Anolis sagrei: one gene and its partners. The protein of the gene in region 3 purifies or fractionates together with the protein of the main gene of each other region. This does not show direct contact. Links are inferred from orthologs where the notes say so. Each region holds a gene or a part of one and is shown on either strand. Other genes may lie near its edges.

What was found. The genes of interacting proteins can lie anywhere in the genome.
Region 1: the proteins of MARCHF5 (region 3) and DNM1L purify together in Homo sapiens (affinity purification with western blotting, with the first as the bait; 3 studies listed by BioGRID). This does not show direct contact. The link is inferred for Anolis sagrei from reciprocal best matches to the Homo sapiens genes MARCHF5 and DNM1L.
Region 2: the proteins of MARCHF5 (region 3) and MFN1 purify together in Homo sapiens (affinity purification with western blotting; 4 studies listed by BioGRID, with this or other methods). This does not show direct contact. The link is inferred for Anolis sagrei from reciprocal best matches to the Homo sapiens genes MARCHF5 and MFN1.

Annotation. Positions count from the first base shown.
Region 1 is NC_090025.1:176,169,970-176,177,130, forward strand, and holds the start of DNM1L (dynamin-1-like protein), read right to left. Parts: upstream 3,023-7,161; 5' UTR 2,884-3,022; coding exon 2,782-2,883; intron 1-2,781. UniProt on the Homo sapiens protein: Functions in mitochondrial and peroxisomal division.
Region 2 is NC_090023.1:257,439,620-257,447,254, reverse strand, and holds the start of MFN1 (mitofusin-1), read right to left. Parts: upstream 3,023-7,635; 5' UTR 2,887-3,022; intron 1-2,886. UniProt on the Homo sapiens protein: Mitochondrial outer membrane GTPase that mediates mitochondrial clustering and fusion. Membrane clustering requires GTPase activity. It may involve a major rearrangement of the coiled coil domains.
Region 3 is NC_090023.1:187,038,628-187,045,758, forward strand, and holds the start of MARCHF5 (E3 ubiquitin-protein ligase MARCHF5), read right to left. Parts: upstream 3,012-7,131; 5' UTR 2,854-3,011; coding exon 2,810-2,853; intron 1-2,809. UniProt on the Homo sapiens protein: Mitochondrial E3 ubiquitin-protein ligase that plays a crucial role in the control of mitochondrial morphology by acting as a positive regulator of mitochondrial fission and as an important regulator of immune response.

The sequences.
Region 1 (7,161 bases), on a different chromosome or scaffold from region 3:
ACACTGTAGAATTAATGCAGTTTGCCACTGCTTTACCTGCCTTGGCTCAATGCTATGGAATCATAGGTGTTGTAGTTTTACAAGAACTTTAGTCTTCTATCTCAAAGACTGCTGGTGCCAAACAAGCTACACCTCCCAGAATCCCATTAATATTCAGTCACGACAGCTAAAAAGGTTTCAAACTGCATTAATTTTGCAGTGTAGATGAACCTTCAGACTCCACATGCAACAGTGTTCTAAAGATCTATGTATTATCTTTGCATTTATGACACTCATATTGTTTCCTTTCAGCTTTAAGGACATCAGAATTGTCTTTCTAGCTCAGAGCAAGATCACTCCCATTTCCAAGAACAGCTATCTCAATGTCCCCAAGGAACCTCCTAACCAGCCTTTTTTCTGCCAGAACCGCCTTGGTGGTTTTTAAAAGTCTAAATCTAATACATAAGTCTGTTGCACTGAATACTAATAATGTAGACTGTTGCTGCAATCTTAAAGAGAGTATGTACTGTGTGGCATTGCAAAAGCTTCAGTAGCAATAGGACAGTCTGTGCCTCCAAGATGTCATCCAGGGCTGCTTTTTATCTTTCAGGAACAAATTGTTTAATTAGGACAGGATCTGAAAATCCTATCTCCCCACCCCACTTAAATCCTCCAATGTGGAACGCATCCCCTTCAACTGGGCAGCATGCCATTAAGCAGGAGACCCATAGGGATTGCAACGTGCTCTGAACACTAATAATTCTCCACTTAACCAACACTGGATAATACTTGCAATAAGCAGTAATAGGCTGAATATTCCTTATCCAGAAACCCCAAATCCTCCAAAGCACAAAACTGTCCACTTGGGGGGCTGGCATAGGGCACATTTATACTGTAAATGCAATTTGAAAACTGCAATGGCACAATGGTATGGTATTCTTGGGTTTGTAATAATCTTTGGCAGAGAAGGCTAAAGACCTTGTAAAACTACATGATCCCATGACACTAAGCTAGGGAAGTGGTGTCAAACTGCATTAATTTCACAGTGAATTTCACTCAAAGTGGCCCCTTTACTTTCTGATAGTTTAATGCATGCAAGCTTTGCTCCACGCACAAAATTATTTAAAATATCCCATATAAAATTATCCTCAGGTTATGTGGTTAAGGTGTATTGGGGGGAAAATCCAATTTAGCTGCTCTGAGTCCTTCAATGAGAGAGAGAGGGTAAATAAATAAAATACATATTTGGACTTGGGTCACAAGGGGGTCCTAAATGTCATGTATCCTGTATATATGCTATAGTATTGGACACCACTGATGAGATTTGGTTCTCAGCTGGTGAGTCCCCAGATGTTTTGGCCTTCAAATCCCAGAAATCCTAACATCTGGTAAACTTGTTGGGATTTCTGAGAGTTGTAGGCCAAAACACCTGGGGACCCACATATTGAGAACCACTGATGTAAATGTATTACCTAAACATACTGTGTATAATGCCATGATATGGGAAATTACTGTATTGGAAATGGAATTGGAAATATGATACTATGGAATTGGAAATTGCTGTATTTTAAAGTAATATTGGATATATAATAATATGGTACTGGAAATCATGGTATTGGAAATGGTATTGAAAATATGATACTACAGTATTGGAAATTGTTGCACTGGAAAATAATATTGGAAATATGATGCTATGGTACTGGAAATCATTGTATTGGAAATGGTATTGGAAATATGATACTACGGTATTGGAAATTGCTGCACTGGAAAACAATATTGGAAATATGATGCTATGATACTGGAAATCATTGTATTGGAAATGGTATTGGAAACTGTTGCACTAGAAAATAATATTGGGAACATGATGCTATGGTACTAGAAATCATTGTATTGGAAATGGTATTGGAAATATGATACTACAGTATTGGAAATTGTTGCACTGGAAAACAATATTGGAAATATGATGCTAGGGTACTGGAACTCGTTGTATTGGAAATGGTATTGGAAATAAGATACTACGGTATTGGAAATTGCTGCACTGGAAAACAATATTGGAAATATGATGCTATGGTACTGGAAATGGTTATGTTGGAAAATAATATTGGAAATATGATGCTTTGGTATTGGAAATGGTTATGTTGGAAAATAATACTGGAAATATGATGCTATGGTACTGGAAATCATTGTATTGGAAATTGTATTGGAAATATGATTCTACAATATTGGAAATTGTTGCACTGGAAAATAATATTGGGAATATGCTATGGTATTGGAAATGGTTATGCTGGAAAATAATACTGGAAATATGATGCTGGGGTACTGGAAATCATATTGGAAAATAATATTGGAAATATGATGCTATGGTACTGGAAATTGTTGTGTTGTAAAATAATATTGGAAATATGGTGCTATGGTATTGAAAATATGGAAATTGGAAATGAAAAAACAAAACAGTATTCCTATGGAAAGATTTAATCAAGTAATTATTAAGTGACAAGATATTGCAGGCCTTGCAAGACTTTCGCCTTAGTCTGGTGAAAAGCCTGGTCCCAAGCATTTCAGATTAAGGGAGAAGTACTTTTGTAGGCCAACACCCCAACCAAATAATAAAACCCCAAATGCAAATATTGATAAGAGTAATTAAAATAAAAGCCACCCTTGAGCCTCTCACTTGAGCACTCCAACAGCACCCCTAGACCTTCTGCCCAGGTGGAGGTCATCCTGGCTTAAGCCCCGCCCACTGTGGTGGCCCAGGCCCCGCCCACACGCGCCCAGGCCCCGCCCCCGAGCGGCCCGCCTCACCTGCGTGCCCACCACCACAATCTGCGGCAGCTGGATGATGTCGGCGCCCACCGTGTTGAAGACGTCCTGCAGCTTATTGATGACGGGAATCAGCGCCTCCATGGCGGCGAGCGGGCGAAGGAGGCGAAGGGCAATGAATGGAGGAAGCGGCGGCGGCAGGGAAGGGCACGAGCTCTGGCACCTTCCCCCGCCGCCGACCACTGGCGCCGGCCCCGCTCACTCCCGGCAGGCCCTACGCATGCGCGCCACCGCAGGAGGCCAAGCCTTCGCAAAGGCTGCCGGGAGTTGTAGTGCAGCTGCAATTGGGACCGTTGTTTCCCCCTAGAGGGCGGCGGGAGAAGCAGGAAACGGAGGCAGGAGGCCTCAAACGCTAGGATTCTGCAGGAGGATCTAAAGTGGGTACTAGGATAGACAGATACTCCAGTGATGAGGTACTTAGGCTGCATTATAGAGCCTTCTCCATTGTAGAAGGGATGCACTTTGACTCCAGGCTGTGAAATCATGGGAGTTTTCCAAGGCCAAAGAGTGCAATTAGAATAGAACAGGCATGGGCAAGCTTGGGCCCTCCAGGTGTTTTGGACTTCAAATCCTACAATTCCTAACAGCCTACCTGGAGGGCCCAAGCTTGCTATAAAGCAGTGGTTCTCAACCTTCCTAATGCCACGACCCCTTAATGTTATGGTGACCCCCAACCATAAAATTAGTTTCATTGCTACTTCACAACTGTCATTTTGCTGCTGTTCTGAATAGCAATGTAAATATCTATGTGGAGGCTGTGACAGACTTTGTATTTCTAGGTGCAAAGATTACTGCAGATGCAGACTGTGACCAGGAAATCAGAAGACGCTTACTTCTTGGGAGGAGAGCAATGTCCAATCTCGATAAAATAGTAAAGAGCAGAGACATCACACTGGCAACAAAGATCCGCCTAGTCAAAGCCATGGTATTCCCTGTAGTCACCTACGGATGTGAGAGCTGGACCTTAGGTAAGGCTGAGCAAAGGAAGATCGATGCTTTTGAACTGTGGTGTTGGAGGAAAGTGCTGAGAGTGACTTGGACCGCGAGAAGATCCAACCAGTCCATCCTCCAAGAAATAAAGCCCAACTGCTCATTGGAGGGAAGGATACTAGAGACAAAGTTGAAGTCCTTTGGCCACATCATGAGGAGACAGCAAACCCTGGAGAAGACAATTATGCTGGGGAAAGTGGAAGGTAAAAGGAAGAGGGGCCGACCAAGGACAAGATGGATGGATGGCATCCTTGAAGTGACTGGACTGACCTTGAAGGAGCTGGGGGTGGTGACGGCCGACAGGGAGCTCTGGCGTGGGCTGGTCCATGAGGTCACGAGTCGGAGACGACTGAACGAATGAACAACAACAACATGAATAGTAATGTAAATATCTGATATTCAAGATGTATTTTCATACACTGGACCAAATTTGGCACAAAGACCCAATACACCCAAATTTAAATACTGGTGGGATTGGGGAAGAGTATTAGTTTTGTCCTGTGGGAGTTGTAGTTGCTGGGATTTATAGTTCACCTACAATCAAAGAGCATTCTGAACTCCACCGCCTAGGCAAAGCCATGGTATTCCCTGTAGTAACCTACGGATGTGAGAGCTGGACCTTAGGGAATGGAGTTGAATCAAACTTGGCACACAAAATTCCCATGACCAGGAGAAAATACTGGGAAGGTTTGGTAGGCAGTGACCTTGAGTTTTGGGAGTTGTAGTTCACCTACATCCAGAGAGCACTGTGGACTCAAACAATGATGGATCTAGACCAAACTTGGCACGAATTCTCAATATTCCCAAATGTAAACACTAGTGGGGTTTGGGGAAAATAGACCTTGACATTTGGGAGTTGTAGTTGCTGGTATTTATAGTTCACCTACAATCAAAGAGCATTCTGAACCCTGCCAATGATTGAATTGGGCCAAACTTCCCACACAGAACCTCCATGACCAACAAAAAATACTGTGCTTTCTTGTGGTCTCTGGTGAACCCTCTGGCACCCCCTCGTGACCCCTCCAGGGGTCCCGACCCCCAGGTTGAGAAACACTGTTATAAAGGAACGTGATCCTGATACGGAGTTATTATAAGTATGCTATTCTAAATTACACCGCTGGTCACCACTCGTAACGAAATTACATATAGGTGAAGGGACCTTTTACGCTGTCAGGGGGGAAAATATATCACATATCCCACCTGCTGACACCAGTATAAAGGAATATAGGTTCTTTCACAGAGTGTTTGTATATATATATGAGGTAACGTGTGTGCTGTCGCACACTGGGCCTGTGCATATGACTGTAGACAGGACATAAATTCCCAACGGGACGCCGGGGCTGCCTCAGATTAAAGGCCTTTGGATTCCCCCCAAACAGAGTTCTGTAGAGGCTTAAAGTAAGTCCAACAAAGTTCTTTATTGATGAAAACAAACAGGTTCTTTAAAGCTTTCTTAACAGTCTATTGGCTCTTGCAATCTTGTTCACTGGGAACAGGCACTATCTTCATAACTGTATACTAACTAATGGGGAAATCCTTAACTTCTAATCTGGGCAGTCTGTACTTGCCTCTGTTGGCATGGAGCCCCTGCACCTGGTACCAACTGCGTCTGGCTTCTGCAAGCGGCCCTTATCAAGCAGAGCTTTGTAAACTTCCTTGGGAAAAAAGGAGTTCAGGTTTCAGTGATGGCCGGCTGAAGTCCCTCAGCAAAGGAGCTGTAAGGCTGCAAAATCCTCAGCCAAGCTGTGGGCTGTGTCTCCCCGGCCAAGCCGTGGGCTGTATAACCCCGGCCAAGCTGTAGGCTGTATATCTCCCTGGCCAAGCCGTAGAAGACGAAGCTTTCTACAGGAGCTCTTGGTTTCATGTCCTGTATGGAAAGCTGCTCTGTGTGGACTGAACTCAAAATGGCTTCTATTCCCACTAAAACTCAAAAAGGGGCGGGATCAGGGAACCTATCGATAATTGACAGGTGGCTTGCCCTATGATTGCAACCTATAACAGGAAGCCACCTTGCTACAAAATCCCAAGCCTGGGATTGCAAACAAACATTTAATGCAAAGCAAACAGAATTGGAGCTCCTGGTACAGCTGTACCAGCACAGTGTGTACTCTGGTAGATTTGCTGCCACCACCTAAAATACTTCAGGATATTGAAGAATGATTCTCTGAGGTTAACTTCTTCCTTGCCACACACTTCTCCCTTAGCTCCCTGAGATGACTGTGATGTTAAGATGTTAAAACAACTAGGATTATTCTCACAGGAATGAATTACAACCGAGGCTTCTTTAAAAGTTGAAATAGATAAAAGATTTATTGATAAGATCAAACAAACAACTGTCTTCTTTGATGAGGCACAAAAGCTTAAATGGTTACTACAGTACAGTATTCTTGATGGTTACTTTAAACAGGTTACTTGACTTAGTCACTCGTAAAACTCCTCACTCTACAATAATACAGTAGCAGTGAGTTCCCTAGACTAACCTACTCAGGCTGTCTTCAGAGCAATTAGCCCACTCTAAGCAGAGTTCTCTATGTGGCTAATCTACTCTACCCAGAGAGCAAAGCACTTGTGTAAGCCCACACAAGCACCCAGGTGACTACTTGACCGTCCTGGCCAATAATGCAGCCTTGCCTGTCACAAACGCTCTGTCAGAAAAATCCTAAGCCTAAAAATACCTCTCCTCTCTCTTCTGTTCCCAAATTCAATCTCTCTTCTTCAATTCCTAAAACCCTTCTCTCTGTGAAGCTGACACTTTTCCCTCTCAGGACTTAACTCCTCCCATCTGTCCTAACCAATCCTAAGAAATCTCCAGCTCCTCCCCTCTTCTCACTTTACCCTCTCAAGATGTCTGCTTCCTTTGCGTACACTCCCAAAACGGAGGCCTACCTCACTGATATCCCTGGCTTCTCCTTCAGCCTACTAGGTAAGAATCATTACACTTGCTCATGCCTATTATAGAGTTGGAAGCAACGACCTGGGTCATCTAGTCCAACCCCCTGCCATACAGGAAAAGCACAATCAAAGCACCCCTGGCAGATGGCCATCCAGCCTCTGTTTAAAGGTTTATAATAATATAATTATAAACTTTATTTATACCCCGCCATCATCTCCCCAAAGGGGACTTGGGGCGGCTTACATGAGGCCAAGCCCGGTAGTACATTACTTATTTACCTTATTTATATATTATTTACTTTATTTATATACCGCTTTTTTCAGCCCTCGGGCAACATTACAGCAAAATAAATACAGAGCGACAAAAATAACATCACAATAAAATAAGTAAAACCTAAAAGTACAATAAAGCAGTTCAAAGTAACAAAATGAAAAATCAAATGCAATGGGTGAGCCAAATGTATGACGTAAAATGATAAA
Region 2 (7,635 bases), about 70 Mb from region 3:
CCCCCACCATCTCCCCAATGGGGACTCGGAGCGACTTACATGAGGCCAAGCCCAAATGACAATTACAATAAAGAAAAACCAAAACACAAATCGAAAATGTGAACAATAAATAATAACATCAGTGTTACATAAAACATATGAATACATAACAAAATAGAAATTACAATATGCACAGGCACAGTAATAATGGGTGTGCTACATGTAATGATTAAAAGATAAACTGATTAAAACTAATTAAAAACTCGGGCGAGATAAAAGAGAGAAGCAGTTTTCTTTTTTTCTTTTTGAGGTTTTCCTCCTGGAGCAGATGTGAAGACTGTGGCATTTCCAGCTGCCAAATACACTAAATTTACATTTCGATGGGCCCTTCCACACAGCCATATAACTCAGAATATTAAGGCAGAAAATCCCACAATATCTGCGTTGAAATGGGTTATCTGAGTCCACACTGCCATATATTAATTAATTAATTAAGCCATTTATATGTCGCCCTTCTCACCCCGAAGGGAACTCAGAGTGGCTTACAAGTTATATGTGCAACCTATATGTATGTATGTGCGTGTAGGCGTGTATACACACACTAGCTGTCCCCTGCCATACGTTGCTGTGACTCAGTCTGTGTATATGTGTTTTGTATATATATATATTTCTGTATGTGTGTTTGCGTGTGTGCACACAGAAACACACTAGCTGCCCCTGCCATGTGTTGCTGTGGCCCAGTCTGTGTATATGTGTTTTGTGTGTATTGTGTGTGTGTGTGTGTGTGTGTGTATGGTTTTGCGCATGCATTGTAATGCAATTTTTGTTTTTTAAGTCTCTTCTGTTGTGTTTTCCAGTGTTTTTATGAGCGATGGTCACTTGTTGGCCTGATAGGTGTATTGTGTCTAAATTTGGTGACAATTCGTCCAGTGATTTTTGAGTTATGTCAGTCCCACAAACAAACATTACATTTGTATTTATATAAGATACACACACACACACACACACACACACACACACACAATATATATATATATTCCATTTCAAAGCAGATAATATGGGATTTTATTCAGCTGTGTGGAAGGAGCCTAAATTATTCTAGCTGATGGGTGGAGAGAGCACTGAATTCAAATGAAATAATATTTCCCAGGACTGTGATTAAAATAACTCTTTTGAATACTGCTGTAGTTTTTTTTAATGTATTATTGGATGCTGAATTTGAAAAAAAAACCCCACAAAAACGCATTACACACAGATTGTTCACAAATTTCATTACTAATTTTGATGCCAAATTCATCATATTTACCTATGATATCAAATTGATGAGCTTTATGTGGGTCTACACACCGTATCATTCAGATTGAACTGCATCACCTTATAATTCAGATTAAACTGCTTTATGTGGGCCTACACACTCATCATATCATTCAGATTGAAGTGCATTATGTAGGTCTACATTCACATATCATTCAGACTGAACTGACCACTATATTATTTAGATTGGACCGCTTTATGTGGGTCTACACACTCACCATATCATTCAGATTGAACTGCATTGTGTGGGTCTCCACTCACCATAGCATTCAGGCTGAACTGACCACCAAATTATTTATGTGGGTCTATACACTTACCATATGATTCAGATTGAACTGCATCTAACCTGTAATTCAGATTGAGCTGCTTTATGTGGGTCCACATACTCAGCATGTCATTCAGATTTATTTATTTATTTATTTCAATTACTTCTACCCCGCCCTTCTCACCCCCGAGGGGGGACTCAGGGCGGCTTACAAACGAAGGCACAAGTCGATGCCTAAATCAATAAACAAACAATACATAAAAACAATTTAAACGATTAACAAGTTAAGAACATTAATACATAGTAAAATAGCAAAACAATCTCATGCTCAGTGTTCAGAGTCCGTTTATCCATTCCATTCCGTTCACCCTTGTTTATCGTCAGATCTTTCCTTAGCTGCCAGAATATCCAAAAGCTTGGTCCCATATCCACGTCTTCAATTTTTTTCTGAATGCCAAAAGGGAAGTTGCTGTTCTAAACTCCCGGGGAGTGAGTTCCAGAGGTGAGGGGCCACCACTGAGAAGGCCCTGCTCCTCGTCCCTGCCAACCTCACTTGTGATAGTGGCGGGGTCGAGAGCAGGGCCTCCCCAGCCGATCTTAAATTTCGAGATGGGATGTAGAGGGAGAGCCGTTCGGACAAATACACTGGGCCGGAATCGTATAGGGTTTTGTAGGTCAAAACCAGCACTTTGAATTGTACTCGGAATTGGATCGGCAGCCAGTGGAGCTGGCGTAACAAAGGGGTTAGGAATTGTGAGAGTTGAAGTCCAAAACACCTGGAGGGCCCAGGTTGGCCCAGGCTTGCTCTAGACATAGAAATACACGTGAAGTTGTTACCTAGATTGAACTGCATCACTTTATAATTCATATTGAACTTAATTATGTGGGTACACACACTATGATGATTTACCTATGATAGGTACCTATGATACCTACCTATGATGATTTACATTGCTTTAAAGATGGAGCAAAAAAGCCGAGGTCATGTTTCTGGATTTACAACTCCAGATTCCCATAAAACCTGTTTAAAACATGTTTTAAAAGTTAAGATCTGCAGGTCTGTGAAAACATATCAAGCTTTGGATAAAAAATAGTACATAGTAAGAAGAAGAAGAAGGCCTAGTGCAGCTAGAGCAGGCCTGGGCCAACCTGGGCCCTCCAGGTGTTTTGGACTTCAACTCCCACAATTCCTAACAGCCTGCCGGCTGTTAGGAATTGTGGGAGTTGAAGTCCATAACACCTGGAGGGCCCAGGTTGGCCCAGGCCTGCTCTAGACGTAGAAATACATGCGAAGTTGTTACCTAACTAAACCCTCCGCCTCCCCTCACCTGGCAACGGCTCCTCTCAGCTCCAGCAGCTCCCACTTCCGCTTCTGAGCAGCGCCTTCCTTCTAGGCTTCACTCACCCGCTTCCGCCATCTTGACTCCGGGCAGCAAACCCTCCCTTCTTCCAACTGCGCGTGCGTAGAAAGATAACTCCGCCCCTTTCTTCTCCAGGCTGATTCGCGCTTGCGTCACAAATCCTCAAGGACGGTCCTCGCGTTCCCTGCTTCCTAACTCTTCCCATAGAGTTAGGAAGCGATGTCATGCGGGCAATATTTCCGGTTCCCATTTGACAGCTGCCATGCAAAGATGCAGAGGAAGGGAAATTTGGATGAAGCAAAATCACTATATTCTTGTGGGTTTTTTCGGGCTATAGAGCCATGTTCTAGAGGCATTTCTCCTGACGTTTCGCCTGCATCTATGGTAAGCATCCTCAGAGGTTGAGATGCATCCTCAGAGGATGCTTGCCATAGATGCAGGCGAAACGTCAGGAGAAATGCCTCTAGAACATGGCTCTATAGCCCGAAAAAACCCACAAGAACCTAGTGATTCCAGCCATGAAAGCCTTCGACAATACAAAATCACTATACTTAGGGAGGATTGTATTAATGTGTTGTTGAAGGCTTTCATGGCCGGAATCATTGGGTTGCTGTGAGTTTTCAGGGCTGTATGACTACTTTCCAGTAGCATTATCTCCTGATGTTTCGCCTCCATCTCATAGAATCATAGACTCAAAGAGTTGGAAGAGACCTCATGGGCCATCCAGTCCAACCCCCTGCCAAGAAGCAGGAATATTGCATTCAAATCACCCCTGACAGATGGCCATCCAGCCTCTGTTTAAAAGCTTCCAAAGAAGGAGCCTCCACCACACTCCGGGGCAGAGAGTTCCACTGCTGAACGGCTCTCACAGTCAGGAAGTTCTTCCTCGTGTTCAGATGGAATCTCCTCTCTTGTAGTTTGAAGACATTGTTCCGTGTCCTAGTCTCCAAGGAAGCAGAAAACAAGCTTGCTCCCTCCTCCCTGTGGCTTCCTCTCACATATTTATACATGGCTATCATATCTCCTCTCAGCCTTCTCTTCTTCAGGCTAAACATGCCCAGCTCCTTAAGCCGCTCCTCATAGGGCTTGTTCTCCAGACCCTTGATCATTTTAGTCACCCTCCTCTGGACACATTCCAGCTTGTCAATATCTCTCTTGAATTGTGGTGCCCAGAATTGGACACAATATTCCAGATGTGGTCTAACCAAAGCAGAATAGAGGGGTAACATGACTTCCCTGGACCTAGACACTATGCTCCTATTGATGCAGGCCAAAATCCCATTGGCTTTTTTTGCCGCCACATCACATTGTTGGCTCATGTTTATCTTGTTGTCCACGAGGACTCCAAGATCTTTTTCACACAAACTGCTCTTGAGCCAGGCATTGTCCCCCATTTTGTATCTATGGCAGGCATCCTCAGAGGTTGTGAGGTCTGTTGGAAAATAGGAAAATGGGATTTATATATTTGTAGAATGTCCAGGGTGGGAGAAAGAATTCTTGTCTGTTAGAGGCAAGTGTGAATGTTGCGATTGGCCATCTTGATTAGTATTTAATAGCCTTGCGGTTTCAAAGCCTGGCTGCTTGCTGCCTGGGGGAATCCTTTGTTCGGAGGTGTTAGCTGGCCATTATTGTTTCATGTCAGTAATTCCCCTGATATTTGAGTGTTGCTCTTTAAAATCAGGACAGTAAATAAAGAGCAATAGCCTAAAAGGTCCATCGAACGACCTCCCATTAAAGAGCAACAATTCAAAGTGCTGGTTTTGACCTACAAAACCCTTTACGGCTCCAGCCCAGCGTACCTGTCCGAACGTATCTCCTTCTATGTCCCACCTCGGAGTTTAAGATCTTCCGGGGAGGCCCTGCTCTCGGCCCCACCTTTATCACAAGTGAGACTGGTGGGGACGAGGGACAGGGCCTTCTCGGTGGTGGCCCCTCGCCTGTGGAATACGCTCCCCAGGGAAATTAGGTCATCAACATCCCTCCTCTCCTTCAGGAGGAAGTTAAAAACCTGGATTTGGGACCAGGCCTTCGGGTAAGCCGGCAGTTGGACAAAGGACAATGACGACCAGAGTAGGAAAGGACAATGACAATCCTGGATGGATTATGGATTTATAAATCGGCGAACACTGACAACAAAATGATTTTATTGCTGTTAATACAATTGTTTTAACTATTGATTGTTTTAACAATTGATTGTTTTAACTAGTAATAACTATTGATGTTAAATTGTAAATTGTATATTGTTTTGTGAATTGTTGGGCATCGAATTGTGCCTTTTGTAAGCCGCCCTGAGTCCTCCCTAGGGGGTTGAGAAGGGCGGGGTAGAAGCACTCCAAATAAATAAATAAATAAATAAATGCAGAATTCCAGACAAGTCTCAATCAGGGCCAGCTAACACCTCCGAACAAAGGATCCCCAGGCAGCAATAAGCCAGGCTTTGAAGCTGCAAGGCCACTCAATGCTAATCAAGGTGGCCAATTGCAACATTCACACCCACCTCAAGCAGACAAGAGTTCTTTCTCCCACCCTGGACATTATTCCACAGATATATAAACCTCACTTGCCTAGTTTCCATCAGACCCCCAAACCTCTGAGGATGCCTGCCATAGATGTGGGCAAAACATCAGGAGAGAATGCCTCTGGAAATGGCCATACAGCCTGGAAAACATAAAAAAACAACCCGAGGATCATATTTATTTATAGAATTTGCACCCGGACTTTTTCCTCCGGAATGGGATTCACAATGATTGCATTCATATATTGTGCTTTTCTCCCAGAATGAGATTCACAATGATTTTATTCATTCAATAGATTCATATAGTTTCTACCAAAATAGGATTTATGGTGATATATATCTTTAAATTTATAGTCCATCTTTCTCATAGAATTTGATTTATGGTTATTTTTATTTGGTTTATTTATACACAGTACTACACCTTTCTTCCAGAATGGGATTCATGGTAGTTGCATATGAATTCATTTATTTTCCAGACTTTGTATACATCTCTTTAATTGGAGGTCATTCGATGGATCTGATTTCTGCATTGATTGCATCAAGAGACATTGCAACTAGTATCCAGAATGTCTTGAATATTTGCCTTTCTTTAAAATATATATACCTTTATTGAGATTTTCTATAACATGACTAAAATCTAAAAGTGGCCTTGAAAGAAAACGGAGAGAAAGAAAGAAAAATAAAGTAATAATAATAATTTTAAAAATAAGAATAAAAATAAAGATGAAGAAAAAGGAAAAAAAATGGAATTAAATTTGGTTTTTTCTTCGTGACTTCCAGAGTATCTTCTGTGAGGTGTCCTCCTTTTCCATTTTTAAGGGAAGCAGCTGATAGCAGTCTGTGATCTTGCACAACCCATAGTGGTTGCTTCTGAGTAGATAGGCAATGGTTTGCTTAAGTGTTGGGGCAGAAGGTTGTCTTATGTAGCAGGTGTATCTTTTGTGCTCCAATGGCAGTTGTACAATAGACGCACAATGTTCTTGATTTTTAAAAGAAACTAACCCACATCAAAAATTCAAGTGTATTTTACATATACATACACTTGTTATTTTACATATTCCAGATCTGAGTATTGCTGTTAAAATTAAGATGGGAAACTTTTGTTTTGAGTCATTATACATTATGCTTGCATGGCTGAAATGTTTTGTGAGTTCACAGAATTTGCCTGAAATTCTATCAACACTTAGCACCTGCAATTTTGTTACCAGCTGGAACAACTTTCCATTCTGAAGAAACTTCTATGCATCACTGAAGTCTGGAAATGTAAAGGCTCATACATTTTAGACTAGTTTGTTTTTTTATTTATTTTTTAAATAAAGTATTTTGACACATAGATAAAAAAAATGTAATGATGACATAAATGTGCATTTTTATTTTCCATTTCAGGCCTTATTCACAAGTCTACGCCATGTTTCATTACAAAACATTACTTGTTCTTTGCACTCAGGACTAAATGCCATCCTGAACATTTTGAAAGCTTTGGGTTCAATGTCTATTCATAGAATCATAGAGCTGGAAGAGACCTCGTAGGCCATCCAGTCCAACCTCCTGCCAAGAAGCAGGACAATCACATTCAAAGCATCCCCAACAGATGACCATTTTTGTTTAAAAGCCTCCAAAGGAGCATTCACCACACTTTATTCACACAAAATAATTTGTGTAATCAAATATTATTTAAGACAACAATTCTATGTGCATTCCGCACAGAGAAAAATGTCTCTGACACACTGGAACACACTTCTAGAAAACATACAGGTAATATTTCACTCATTTTTCTATCCTACATTTGAGGCTTAAATAAAATGGAAATACAGGCAGTTGTAGGCTTCATTGGATTCATAAGTATAAAAACAACACGTTCTCAATGTCACAACTTGACAATAAACCATAAACAAATGCTTTCGTCTTTTCTAGTGACAGCAGTTACAAAGAAACTTTTACTAATGGTTCAGACACAGTAGTTATTCTAGATTCTGAATGTGAGTAGGAGTCATGAAGCTATCCAGATATTTGACCGTCCCACCAGTCCTTGCTAGCAGTTGATGCTGGGATTGATAGTCCAACACTATCTGTCCAGCTGCACTCCTGTTCTAAAAGCTTTCCCCAAACATAATCATAATTTGGCATTTTTGCTATCTGAAGTGTTTAGTCCGACACCATTTATTCAGCTGCACTTCTGTTCTAAAAGCTTTCCCCAAACA
Region 3 (7,131 bases):
GCTGGGATTTATAGTTCACCTATAATCAAAGAGCATTCTGAACTCCATCAATGATGGAATTGAACCAAACTTGGCAAATAGAACTCTCATGACCAACAGAAAACATTAGAAGGGTTTGGTGGGCACTGACCTTGAGTTTTGGAGTTGTAGTTCACCCATATCTAGAGAGCACTGTGGACTCAAATAATGATGGATCTGGACCAAACTTGGCACGAATACTCCATATGCCAAAATATAAACACAGATGAAGTTTGGGAGAAATAGACCTTGACATTTGGGATTAGTAGTTGCTGGGATTTATAGTTCACCTACAATCAAAGAGCATTCTGAACTCCACCAACTACTGCATTGGGGCAAACTTCCCACACAGAACTCCCAAGACCAACAGAAAATATTTAAGGCCATCCAGTCCAACTTCCTTTACCAGGGCAAGAAAAAATAATCAAAGCCCTCCTGACAAAGAGCCATCCATTCATAGATATAGAGAGATATATATGACTCACACACACACACAAATATAGTATCATAGATTTGAAAGGAACCTCTAAAGAAGGACAATTATATGTTGAATGTTCCAGAGGAGACAAACAGACAATCTCCACATCAACACTGACAAAGAAACAGCAAGAAATACTGTTTACCCAACAAGCATAAAGAAATTACATATATTAGAAACCAACACTTCCTCATTACTTTATTTACCAGATCAACAAACTGGGCCACAGCAACGCATGCAGGGGACAGCTAGCATATATTGTTGTTGTTCATTCATTCAGTTGTCCCCGACTCTTCGTGACCTCATGGACCAGCCCACGCCAGAGCTCCCTGTCAGCCGTCACCACCCCCAGCTCCTTCAAGGTCAGTCCAGTCACTTCAAGGATGCCATCCATCCATCTTGCCCTTGGTCGGCCCCTCTTCCTTTTACCTTACACTTTCCCCAGCATAATTGTCTTCTCCAGACTTTGCTGTCTCCTCATGATGTGGCCAAAGTACTTCAACTTTGTCTCTAGTATCCTTCCCTCCAATGAGCAGCCGGGCTTTATTTCCTGGAAGATGGACTGGTTGGATCTTTTCGCTGTCCAAGGCACTCTCAGAACTTTACTCCAACACCACAGTTCAAAAGCATCTATCTTCCTTCGCTCAGCCTTCCCTAAGGTCCAGCTCTCATATCCGTAGGTTACTACAGGGAATACCATGGCTTTGACTATGCGGATCTTTGTTGCCAGTGTGATCCTGGACTCACCGCTGAGCCTGGAACCCCAGGTCTCGGCGGTGGCCGGGAGAGCTTTTGTGCAATTAAAACTTGTGCACCAGTTGCGCCCATACCTTGGGAAGTCTGATCTGGCCACGGTGATCCACGCTCTTGTTACATCCCGAATAGACTACTGCAACGCTCTCTACGTGGGGTTGCCCTTGAAGACTGTTCGGAAACTTCAACTAGTCCAGCGAGCGGCAGCCAGACTGCTCACCGGAGCGACATACAGGGAGCATACCACCCCCATCCTGTGTCAGCTCCACTGGCTGCCGGTCCAGTTCCGAGCACAATTCAAGGTCCTGGTTTTGACCTACAAAACCCTGTACGGTTCCGGTCCAGTGTATCTGTCCGAACGTATCTCCCTCTACGTCCAACCCCGGAGTCTGAGATCATCTGGGGAGGCCCTGCTCTCGACACCACCACTGTCACAAGTGAGTCTGGTGGGGATGAGGAGCAGGGCTTTCTCAGTGGTGGCCCCTCACCTGTGGAACTCACTCCCGGGGGAAATCAGGGCATCATCATCCCTCCTCTCCTTCAGGAGGAGGGTGAAGACGTGGTTATGGGACCAGGCCTTTGGGCAATCTGGCAATTAAATAAGACAATCAGGCGAGTAAGACCAACAGGATTGACGAAGTGGAACTGAAAATTAGAACTATGAGTTAGCGAACACTGACCATGTAGGAGAAGGAATTGGGTTTGTATTGCTTTTATTGATTTTATTGGTATAATGCATGAATTGTTGTTAACTGTGAATTGATGTAATTTTGTGTTTTGATTGTTCTGTGATGCAGGCATCAAATTGTGCCTTTGCTTTTGTAAGCCGCCCTGAGTCCCCTTCGGGGGTGAGAAGGGCGGGGTAAAAGAACCCCGAAATAAATAAAAAAAATGTCTCTACTCTTCACTATTTTATCGAGATTGGACATTGCTCTCCTCCCAAGAAGTAAGCGTCTTCTGATTTCCTGGCCACAGTCTGCATCTGCAGCAATCTTTGCGCCTAGAAATACAAAGTCTGTCACGGCCTCCACATTTTCTTCCTCTATTTTCCATATATATATATATATAAGCTAGCATATATATATATATATATATATATATATATATGAATCTCACTTGCCTACTTTCCAACAGACTTCACGACCTCTGAAGATACCTGCCATAGATGGCACTACCAGGCCATCAAATGCTAATCAAGGTGGTCAGTTGAAACATTCACACCTAGCTCCAATAGACAAGAGTTCTTTGTCCCACCCTGGTCATTTCACAGATATATAAATCCATTTTCCTAGTTCCAACAGACCTCACTACCTCTGAGGATGCTTGCCATAGATGCAGGCGAAACGTCAGGAGAGAATGCTTCTGGAGCATGGCCATACAGCCCGGAAAACTCACAACATCCTGGTTGGGTAGATTATTGAGGGAATCTCCAACCTTCCAGTCAGCAAGATTTCTTAATTGTGTCCCCAAAGGCTCCAGTCGTCCCGGTGTCTATGGCGCCCACCCTCCTCCTCCTCCACCACCACCACCAAGGCCGCCTCTCCCCCTTCGCTTTATTACCTGTCCAGGCTCTGCGGCATCACCAAGCCCGTCTGTTCCGACATCCTGAGGTGGCGAGGGGAGAGGGGGACAAGGCCCCAACCGCCGGCGCGAGGAGGGAGACACAAGGTGAGCACGGGGGCCCCTCGAAAATAACACCCGAGGAGGAGGACGACGCAGGGCCTAAGAGGGAGCCACTGCGCATGCGCCGGCGCTTACCTCACAGAGGGACGGACTCCCCGCGGCGCCTCGGGTCCCGACTTCTCCTCCTCCCTCATTCACTCACTCCAGCGAGGTACCGCCCCCCTCCCTCTCTCCCGAGGCACTATGGGAAATGTAGTTCCCGTCGCGAGTGTGCCCTGAGGGGATTTAAATCCCCCTCCCCTCTTCCCTCCTCCTGCTCTCGCGCTTCACCGTTGGGCTGTTCCGTTCAGCCGCCACCCCCCCCTCCCCTCCCCTGCGCGAGACGGCTTTGTTTATGTGTCTTTAATGGGAGGAGGAGGAGGAGGCGGCGAGATGGCCACGCGCGCTGAGGGAAAGGTCAGCCCCCTGGGCCGCTGTCACTTTGGGGGAGGGGAGGGGAGGGAAGGGGGTAGTTCGTTCCTCACTCGTTCCTTGTCGTTACTGTGAGGGGCGGGAAAGGAGGGTGGGGGCCTCGTAGGCAGCCCTTCTTTGGCACCCTCAAGCAGGAGGCGAGGGTGAGGCGCTCCTGGAGGGTTGCTAGATATAGCTGTTGTTCTCTAGATTGATTATTTATTTATTATTTATTTAGATTTATTTAGATTGATATTATTATTGATATTATTATTTATTTAGATTGATACCCTGCTTTCTGTCTTCTTCATTCCATTCTCATTCTCTTTGCTTGGACTCCACTTTCTCTCCTTTTCATTTCATTATTATATTCATTATTTGCATTATTATATTATTATATTTATTTATTTGGGGCGCTTCTACCCCACCCTTCTCAACCCCCTAGGGGGGACTCAGGGCGGCTTACAAAAGGCACAATTCGATGCCCAACAATTCACAAAATACAATACAATATACAATACACAAATTTGCCATATAATGTCAGTTATAACTAATTAAAACAATCAAACAGTATACTAGCAGCAATAAAAACATCTTGTGGTCAATGTTCACCAAATCCAAGTCCGTAAACCATCTATCATCGTCATTGTCCTTTCCTACTCTGGTCATTATTGGTTGTCTTTGTCCATCTGCCAGCTTACCTGAAGGCCTGGTCCCACATCCAGGTTTTTAGCTTCCTTCTGAAGGAGAGAAGGGATGTTGATGTCCTAATTTCCCCAGGGAGCGCATTCCACAGGCGAGGAGCCACCACCGAGAAGGCCCTGTCCAGGCCCGTAGCCAGGATTTCGTTTGGGGGGGGGGCTGAGTCTGAGTGAAAGAGGGTCTAGCCTAGCAAACCTTTTGTATCATTACCCCAATACCCCCATGCATATGGGATATATTGAGTATGGTGATAAGATCATGATATGAATAAACATAACAGTTTAAATAATGCACCAGTAAGGCCTTTTCGCGAACCACCATGAGAATTTCGGGGGGGGGGGGGCTGAAGCCCCCCGAGCCCCCCCCCCCCCCGGCTACATGCCTGGCCCTGTCCCTCGTCCCCACCAGTCTTGCATGTGATAAAGGTGGGGCCGAGAGCAGAGCCCCCTCAGCAGATCTTAAACTCCGGGGTGGGACATAGAAGGAGATATGTTCGGACAGGTACACTGGGGCGGAGCCATATAGGGTTTTGTAAGTCTAAACCAGCACTTTGAATTGTGCTCGGAATTGGATCGGCAGCCAGCGGAGCTGACATAGGAGGTGGGTGGTATGCTCCATGTATGACACTCCGGTGAGTAATCTAGCCGCCGCCCATTGGACTAATTGAAGTTTCTGAACAGTCTTCAAAGGCAACCCCACGTAGAGCACGTTGCAGTAATCTATTCAGGATGTAACAAGACAATTATTAATTTAATTGTCATTATAATTATTTGGGCTCTTTCCCCCCTCCTTTTAATTCCACTATTATATTTATTATTTGTATTACTATTATATTTAGTATATGTATTATTATATTTATGACTAGCCGTCCCCCTGCCACGTGTTGCTGTGGCCCAGTTTATATATAATAATAATAATAATAATAATAATAATAATAATAATGTATTGTCGAAGGCTTTCATGACCAGAATCACTGGGCTGTTGTGGGTTTTTTCGGGCTATATGGCCATGTTCTAGAGGCATTCTCTCCTGACGTTTCACCTGCATCTATGGCAAGCATCCTCAGAGGTTGTGAGGTCTACACTGTGGTTTTTGAGTTATGCTAATCCCACAAACGAACATTACATTTTTAATTATATTGATTATTATTAATGCCATTGTCATTATATTTACTAGTACTCCAAATCCCCTCTTTTAAAGTCCATTATTATATTTATTATTTGCATTATTATTATTATTATTATTATATTAATTTAATTGTCATATTTATTTGGACTCTTCATTCACTCCTTTTATTTCTATTATTATATTTATTATTTGTATTAGTATTGTATTCAGTATATGTATTATTAATGCCATTGTCATTATACTTGCAAGTACTCCAAATTCTCTCTTTTAAAGTCCATTATCATATTTATTATTTGCATTATAATTATATTACTATTATTATTAATTTAATTGTCATTATATTTATTTGGACTCTTCTTTTTCTCCTTTCAATTCTATTATTATTATTATTATTATTATTATTATTATTATATTTGTTTACTCCACTTTCCCTCCTTTTAATTCTATTATTAGCTATATTATTTATATTTTTATTATTATATTTATTATTAATTCTATTATCATATTTATTTGGACTCTTCTTTTATTCCTTTTGATTATATTATTATTATTATTATTATTTGAAACAGAATAAGATGAGTCCACAGCAGACAAGATCACTCTGCTGGTTGTTGCATTGGATCACGCACCGGACACTTCCCAATTGTCTAGGACTGTGTGATGTATTGGCAAATAATGTGTGCAGATCCCAGTAAGGTGGCCTTCTGCAGCTGACAGATGGTAATTTTGTCAGCGCCGATTGTGTTTAAGTGCAGACCAAAATCTTTAGGCACTGCACCCAGTGTGCCGATCATATTACTATTACTATTACTATTATTATTATTATTATTATTATTATTATTTGTTCTCCGCTTTCCCTTCTTTTAATTCCATTATTATTTTTACGTTTATTTCTACTCTGCTTTCCCTCCTTTTCATTGCATTATTATTGTTAGTATTATATTTATTACTACTACTACTACTACTATTAGTACTAGTAGTACTGCCCTTTATCTCTTCTTAATTCCATTATTATCATATTTATTTATTTAGTTTGCTTTCCAACCCAAAATTGGGACTCACTACAGTGGAGATTTATGGTCTCTGAGGAGCCCTCTCTCCTCCCTTTCCTAACTTCCGCACTGTTACATATATGCCTGCCTGCCTTCCTTCCTATCATTATTATTATCTTTATCATTACTATTACCTCCTTTGCCCCTCCCACAAACTGGGACTCAATTATTTCACTGTAGTGGTTATCTCACTGTAGTGGTTATCTCACTGTAGTGGATATTTATGGTAGGTGGAGATCCTTCTTCCCACCCTTTCCTGCCAAAAAGTACACCCGATGATGATGATGATGATGATGATGATGATGATGATGATGATGATGATATATTTCATTCATCCCCAAATTGGGACTCAAAACAACTGTCTCTTTGTAGTGGAGGTTTATAGTCACTGAAGATCCTTCTCCTTTCTCTTTTCTGCCTCCACTGCTGGTACAGATATACCTCTTTTTCATATTTATTATTATATTTATACCCCACGTTCACCCCCTAAATTAGGACTCATAGTGACTGTCTCACTATATCTGAGATTTATAGTCACCGAGGATCCTTCTCCATTCCCTTCCCTGTCTTCCATGCTGTTACAGGTGCACATTTTCTTAAATTCCATTATTACAGTCTTTGTCTCCTTCTCCATATCCTTCTCCCCTCCCCTACAAAAAATTGGGACTCATAGAGGGTGTTACACTACAGTGGAGATTTATGGTTGCTAAAAACCCTTCTTCCCTTCCTTGTCTGCCTTGTTACAGATGCACTTCTTTTTACATCTGTTATAATTATATTACTATATTTTTATTCTGCTTTCACCCAATTTGGGACTCAACAGTGGCCATCTCACTTGTAGTGGAGATGTATCATCACTGGAGATCCTTTTCCTCTCCCTTGCCTGTCTTCACACTGTTACAGGGGTGCCTCTCATTGTTGTTGATG